Linked DNA regions of Oreochromis niloticus. The protein of the gene in region 1 interacts with the protein of each later gene in a pairwise test. Links are inferred from orthologs where the notes say so. Each region holds a gene or a part of one and is shown on either strand. Other genes may lie near its edges.

Evidence for each region.
Region 2: the proteins of coiled-coil domain-containing protein 158 (region 1) and gpsm1b interact in a two-hybrid assay, tested with the Homo sapiens proteins (2 studies listed by BioGRID and IntAct). The link is inferred for Oreochromis niloticus from reciprocal best matches to the Homo sapiens genes CCDC158 and GPSM1.

What each region holds. Positions count from the first base shown.
Region 1 is NC_031977.2:28,603,292-28,607,215, reverse strand, and holds the start of coiled-coil domain-containing protein 158, read left to right. Parts: upstream 1-1,300; 5' UTR 1,301-1,325; coding exon 1,326-1,458; intron 1,459-1,540; coding exon 1,541-1,598; intron 1,599-2,280; coding exon 2,281-2,420; intron 2,421-2,732; coding exon 2,733-2,920; intron 2,921-3,045; coding exon 3,046-3,155; intron 3,156-3,234; coding exon 3,235-3,529; intron 3,530-3,619; coding exon 3,620-3,672; intron 3,673-3,924. Other genes in the region: cyclin-G2, read right to left, coding at 1-72.
Region 2 is NC_031972.2:19,260,322-19,264,245, forward strand, and holds the start of gpsm1b (G-protein-signaling modulator 1b), read left to right. Parts: upstream 1-826; 5' UTR 827-1,353; coding exon 1,354-1,502; intron 1,503-2,724; coding exon 2,725-2,946; intron 2,947-3,924. UniProt on the Homo sapiens protein: Guanine nucleotide dissociation inhibitor (GDI) which functions as a receptor-independent activator of heterotrimeric G-protein signaling.

The DNA.
Region 1 (3,924 bases):
GTTGTACTCTGTCGCACAACATGACTTCAACTCTTTCAAGAGCAAACTGTCAACGTCCTGAAGATCCCTCATCTGGAAAACAACACAGTGTAATATTTGTTTCTTATTTTCCATTAAAATCCAAGAGACTGTCAGAGTAAGCCTATGTTAACTGTAACTGTTGCCTCCTAAACCACACCTACAGGCTGTCCGGTATCCCTACGAATAAATAAATAAATAAATAAATAATAATATATAACCTGGCGATCGTTACAATATTATAAGTGATTTATTAAGTGAATGCATAAAATATGTCGAAGCACAATAACTAAACCACCACCAAATCGAAGTAGATGTAGATATTTGAGCTAAATGACCACTGACCTGAAACTAGGTCACCGGGCTAATCCAAACAGGGAGATGATTACATATTACAGAAGGGGGCGAATTAATAGAGCTAGGCTATTTCCTTCTTTTGGGTTTTAGAAATTGTGTTTTGAGAAACAAAAACATCTATAATTGCCAAAAAAACATTCGGGGGGCGTCACCCACACAAAGTACTCCTGTGTAAGCTAACTTAGCTAGCGCTAATCAAGCAGTCGTTTTACCTTGCCCAGGAGCGGAAGGCGTGCAGGATAGTAACAGCTCCGTGACTTCAATTTAGATTTCACTCCTCCATGTTTCCATTTTGATTAAGATGATTGACGGGAAATAATAAAATAAGACCTCGATCACCGTCGAAGAGCGACAACCCCCTCCCCGCCGCCCGTAATAAACAAGCAGCTCCTGACCTGCTGGAGAAAACTACTTTAACCATCATGCATCTCTAGAAACGCAACGTCTTGCCTGTTTGCGTAACAAAGTGGCACAAAAAGGCGCCTGTTGGCCGATTACTTAAAGCCGTCGGGGATAATTATGTTTTACCTCCTGTTTACGGTCACTTAACCGATAAACTTGTAGTTCACAGGTTCTGACTTTCACATCCAGTCTGTCATTATATTTTAACGGTTACACTCAAAGACCGCTCAACTACGTCGGCCAAATTAGCTACGGATTGGTGATGGCTCTTGTGGCACGGCACCCAAAGAAGAGCTGGCTCTTTTGGCTCCCAAATCGCTCTTAATATATTACGATCTGTAGCCTCATATTTTAGCTTTATTTGGCAAATTTGATGGGAGTTGGCTCTTCTGATTAGAGCCGATGCTTTTGCGCATGACACGTCACTACTACCGATGCTGTTTCCATGGTGATGAAACTGCACACTCTGGTAGAAGCAAGACTGTGGTGCAGTTGTCATTAGCAGGTTCTTGTAAATGTCTTAATCAATGACTTGAGATAAAAAGAAGATGTCTTCCACGGGGTCCGAGTCCTCTGAGCCCCAGAGCTATAGGCTTTCCGTCAATAGTGGCACTAACGTTTTACGATACCATTCCACAGCGAAAGATAGAACAGCAACAGCGGCAGGAACTGGAACCGCTGGTAAGCTAAATAAGCAAAGTATTGCTTGTTAGTATGCTAAACTTTATTTCAGTAACTTGGACGGTTCCTATTTATTTTATAGATCCCCATGGTACCCCTCTTCGGTTGAGATTCAACAGTGTGACGCTGGACGAGCTGAGGTAACATACTCACCCAAATTAAACTAAGACTAAGACTTCTTTCTTTCACTATATTGCACTAAGACTTCTTTCTTTCACTATATTGACTAAGACTTCTTTCTTTCACTATATTGCACTGTATTATCAAGATTATAAATGTCCTGTCTCACAGTGATACTGAAAAGTAGTTCATGCATGTGCCACTCTTGGATGGACTGTTATAATTCCTATTAAGCCGGCTGTTCTAAAAGCTCCCCGAAAAAGCATCCAAATCATCAAATCATCATCCAAGTCACAGCAGCAAGAGTATTAACAGGGACTGGAAAGAGAGATCGCATTTGTCCCGTGTTAGCTCATCTTCATTGGCTTCCTGTTGAAGCCAAAATTGAATATCTTAGTAACCTCATAGTACCATATTATCCTAACAGAGCACTTCATTGTAAGACTGCCCTGCTTACTTGTAGTTTACTGTGCTTTAAGTAAAGTGGGAGGCAGAGCCTTCAGCTATCCTCTCCTGTGGAACCAGGTCCTGGTTTTGATGCATGGCAGTCTTCCTCACAGCTTTAACGATTAGGCTTAAAACCTTCTGTTTTGAAAAAAGAAAATAAATCAGGCTGTGCTGCAGTGGGCACTATTAGTAAACAAATCTGAACTGAATTCACTGTATGAGTTAGTCTAAGCCTGAGCTTCCATGTATTGACAGTGATGAGCTTGATCGCCGCACCAAAGAAACCCAAAGACTACAAGAAGAGGTGGAAAATGCAACTAAGGTGGTTCTGGAGAGATTTGGCGGCAGCTGTAGGTCACCTGGACAAAGCTGCCATGATATTAAACCTCATACCTGTGAGTACAAGTGTTTCCACACATCTTGTTTATGCCACTCTAACTTGAAAGATGGGGGGGAAATGTGTTATCTAATGGCTTATTTATTATTGTTTTACAAAATCCAGAGTAGAATAAAATGGCTGAAAACCAAAGGCACAGAAGTACTGAAGCTCAAATTCTTCTAAGCTATTTTAGTCTCAGAAAATGTTTAAATCCAAATAACTAGTATGCATACACAGAAGGGAAAGAATTCAACATAAACAAACACCCTATCTTAACAGTGACAGCGTACGCTCTGAGTGTTTTAAACGTCTGTTGCTGTTTTGGCAGATGACTCTCTTGGAGATTCCTCCTTTCTTTCAACCCACCAGCAGGCAGTGACTCAGCCTTTGGTCTTTGGTCTGGATATTTTAAACCAGGAAGTAGCCCAAAGGGACATCAGCTCTCCTGGAAAGGAGGTGTTAGAAAATGCAATGGATGACTGCCTTCAGCAGCTGTCAGACTTGCAGCTCAACAAGGTTCATATTTTTATTGCATCCATAAATCCTTTGGAATAGTTTGGTTATGTATGATGTGAATAGCAGAGGAGGGTAGTGCACTTTCTGCATTATGTATCTTTTATGTTTCATCTCCTCAAACACAGACAGTTAATCGAGCTGAACAAGAAACATGCTGTCCTCAGAAAGCCATCACAAACCTGAAAACTGAGCTGCATAAAGTCCAGATGGAGAAAGATGCCCTGTCTGACCTGAGGTGAAAACACAGATACAGTTTTACATATATAAAATAAAATGCCTGAATCACTTTGACCCACAGATCTTTTGATTTTTAGATTAAAGGATTCGAGGAAACACGTTGATCAGATGGAAAAGATGCTGTGCTTGTTGGAAGAGCTTCAGAAACTCAAAAGGTCGAGGGACAAGAAGCTGCAGGAGATGGAGAATGAGGCAGTCGCGCTTAATAGGAAAGTTGAAACATTGGAGCAGACCATAAAGGAGGTGTATCATACATTGGATGGGAAACAATCTGAACACTCAGTCACCGGCACTAAACATGGGAACCGCGAAACGCAGCAATTTTTTCCTAATGAACGACTGAACGACAAGCTACAGGGGAGGCCTTTTTTGGTAAGTGATAGCATTCAGTAGAGTACAATAATGGGTGTATTTTACAAAAAAAATATGACTTGTGATTTTTTTCTTTCTGTTTCATATCAGTCAGAAGATCAGATAGGGAACAAGGAATACAGTGGAGCAATTGAACAGGAAAGGTATATAATTTTCCTAACTAATCAATGAATTCTGTCATTTACTGAATGTCAACAACTGCCCATCACAGATTCTTAGAGCTGGGTTTGTCAAACCTGTTGTACAAAAGCTAAAGATTTTCCACTCACTCACACGAAGTACAAAGTAAAGCAGCAAATTTACATGATAAATTATCAGAATGTTTGTGTGTGATTTTTGCCATAATTTGTTTCACTTTTGAAGAATATTTATAGTATAAATACCAACTTCAGTGT
Region 2 (3,924 bases), on another chromosome or scaffold:
CTGAAAGCAAGATTTCTGGGAAACTAATCAAAATCATTGAATTCTCTTTATTACATTGTGCACTGAGAATTAACATTAACAAGTAATTTAATTGCATTAAATTTTATCATGTAATTTTGCCCTAAAATGCAAAAATAGCATTTATTGTATACATGTAGAATGCAAAAATTAACTTTTAGGAAAAAGAACCGTCTTAAATGTAAATTCCTGTGTATATTTCCATGTTACTGTATAGACTGATATTTAATAAAAGGGGAAAACAACGCTGTAGTGAAGAGATCTCTTGTAAATTCCTTATTTAGCTTGTATTTTGCTTGCTGCCCCTGTGACACTGTCTCGGTTAAGTAGGGCACTTGTTAATGTACTTGGACACGTGTGTCATAGTGGCAAGATTTTCATGCAGGAAGTGTTTTTTATAGCTTTAAAATAAAGTTAATCTAAAGATTAAAAACAGAAAAGCAACATGCGTTTCCTTTTTAGTGAAAATAAATTTACTTAATACGTCCCTTAGGTCTTATTTACTCACAGTGTCATCTGTCTCGGTTGGTGACCTAATAATGTTTATGCTAGTGTCAGCAGGTAGTTGGATTTGTTTAGGCCACTCACTGTGCTGTATTGTCTCTACTGAGGAGGTGCATGGCACTGGATTAGCCATCCCTGTCTCTCTCATCCTTTCTCTCTGCCTCTCATTGGGGCAATGGTCAAGCTTAGATGTAAGGTATTCACTTTGTAATCATTGACTGTTCCTCTACTCTTGCCCAGAATGGTCCGTCATCATGCTCCCCTGTTCTTTTTAAACCTGATAGAACAACTGGTCTCCGGGTCAGACTTGAGGAGAAGTTGAAGAGGATCAGAGATGAGCACAATTTTCTGTTGGGAGTAGCAGGAACTGAATTACATAACAACAATGGATATCTTAACTTGATTAAAATCACCTGGATTAATAAAACATAAACTTGTAAACTTGTGACGTCTTAGAAATTCACTTGTTTTGGAGCTCAACCTTCTTGTGGAATTATCTGAAATTCCCTCTGGACTGTTTTGTCTGCAGGTTGCTTCACCGTGTAGTTTTGGAACGAGCTTGAGGACTTGAAAAGCACACATTTTTCTCGGCTGGCTTTGGACTGTGGTTAGAATTTACAATTGGAGTGTGTCCAGGTTTGTTGTAATGTTGCTGATATAGTGGTTTTTATTGAAGCTGGGAAATATGGACTTTATAAGACCACAGCTTGTTAAAGTGTGAGAGGAATTCTTAGTTGTAGGCATAGTACTTAAATTAACTCTACAGAGTTAATTCTACAGAGTTAATTTAAGAGTTTTCTGATAAAGTTAGTTTTATTTAACAGTACCCTCATGGCATCTGAGCCTTGTCCTCTGACTGGAGCAGAGAGAGCCGTATGTAGACTTGTCCACTGTGGACCCCGACCTCAAGCTATGCTAAAGCCTTTACCTCTGGAGCTCCAGGTGTATGTGGACAAAACAAGGACCAAGCAAAAACACAGGTACTGTAAAAAAACAAAACAAAACTCAAAAGGAACCCGTCAAGGTTTTACAAACCAAAATGACATTGGTGAACACATGCATCCCATATTAGGGCAATGTTATGAAATCTGACTAGAACATAGTGTAACGTCAGCTGCTTTAAATTACTGTTCCCGTCACAGTAAATCCTTTTTGCCTCAAAAAGGCAGATGCATTCGCATCTTCGATTTGACAGTAAATAAGCTGTAATGCAAAAAACTCATGGTACATCTCTTTACCTTTTGAATGGAGCCTTTTGCAAAGCCTTTTGATTAGATGCAAGGATAATCCTTGCTTATCTCTACATTCTAGTACTTTATCTGGAATTTAGTGTTACTACTAAACTGTCTGGTCTTGTTTATCCTGGATTATGCAATGCATTTAGGGTGTATACTTCTGGATACAGCTCACTCATGAAGCCTTGTCGTATGCTCAGAATTGTTTTTAGTGGCTTGAGTAGTGGTAAACTCAGCGTGAGTTCTGGCCGGACACATTGGTATCTATTGAATCTCTCCCTGGAATGTGCTGATGTATTTTAGCTCAGCAGCCAACTTCAATCTCTGAAACATAGTTTTGTTAACTTCAAGGCATGGAGTGCGACACAGGGCAAAATACAAACCCCTTTAGCTGTTCAGAAATACCAGATTTTGAAAGACTTCATGCAATAACCCTGCAGTGGTCTGGCATCCTATCCAGACCATACCCCTGCTCTCATCAGAGACAGCTGGGGTAGGCTTTAAGCTGCCGCAGCCCTGAAGTGGATAAGCAGTTAAGGAAGTGAATGGATGACATTGTCTCAGATTGCAGTCAGTAGAGAACCATATTGTTTTTCAAATGTTTTATCTCTCTGGTGTGGGTGGGACATTCTGTCTCTGTCTTATTTTGTTTCATATCCTCATGAAAATCTCAGAACATGCAAAAGAACGGCACGTCTTCGAACATCAGGCTGTAAACTGATTTAAGCAGTTAAAAGTGTATCACCTTTTCAGGGTGTTCATCTTCGAGCTCAAACTCAGTTACTAAGGCAACCATCCACAGAATTTATTACAGACCTTGTTGTCATGGTGATACTGCCTCTCTGTGAAAGTATATTTCACTCCCACTGTAATGGTATCCATGTTTACTGTATGTCCTAATCTGTGATAGGGCTATTGTTTTTATTTCATTAGTTTCATGACTTTGTTGTATGCGTGTACCTTGCAGGATGGAGGCCTCGTGTTTAGAATTGGCCTTGGAAGGAGAGCGGCTATGCAAGGCTGGGGACTTCAAAGGGGGAACAGCGTTTTTCGAAGCAGCCGTAAAGGTCGGCACAGAAGACCTGAAGACCCTCAGTGCCATCTACAGCCAGCTGGGCAATGCATACTTCTACCTTAAGGAGTATGGCAAAGCCCTGGAATACCACAGACATGACCTTACCTTAGCAAGGTGAGCAATGTGCACAAGCTATGAGTAAAACATTCACCTCAGCTTTGTGCTGCTTGTTTTGAGCTGCTTGGGAGTCTCATTCAACAATCTGTTTGCTGCACAGTAAACAGTTGATAAATTTCACATTTGAAATCAGTTAACAGGCACTTTAGCTGAGAAGAGCTGCATTGTTACGATAAGGGAACTTATACACAGATCAATAAACCCCGCGTACATATTGCATCCAGCACACGGACATATAAGAGGACTATGAACCAGTATGCAGGAATCATATGCTACGTTCTGTTATTTGATGTACACACAGTTCAAAAGGAAAACAGTCTTTTTCACATTTTTTCCTTTACGTGAGACCTTCATGAATTTCAGACAAAGAAATTTTTTTTAAAAAGTGAGGGGACTTTTACGTAGTAACAGTTGACAAATACCAACTGGATATTTAGCTTGTGAGTAATCTGGTCTCCTGCAGTTAGTGCAGCTGGTACTCCTGCAGGGAACTGATTAAGGACCCTAGGGAGATTTACCTTGTTACATTACAGTCTCACCAGGGCCACTGGGGCTTGGTCCTTGGAAGTAGGCAACTGTTGTTACAGTATTTTAATGGTTATTCATTAGCTAAATGGATAACTCGTGGCTTCCTGTGGGTCATCTGGGCCGCCTGCTAGAGGACAATAACGTAATGAAACAATGTGGTAGTAGCAGGTTCATAAGAGCATATAGTAACTGCAAGCACTTAGTGCATACCATCTTTTAGTTGCTCAGTTTCAAAGTGTGAAAGTGAAAAAAGGAGAACAACACAATGGGGAAATTATTTCTCACTTCCAGCATGAAGAGAAAGTAGGCCATAGCAACCAGAGAGGAACTAATCGTGTTGACAAGTTCCGATTCAACGATGCATGATTAAGCCTAAAGTAATTAGTGGACATGGTGCTCTATTTAGTGCTTGTTATGCTTTATAATGCATTGTCAGTGACTCTCTAG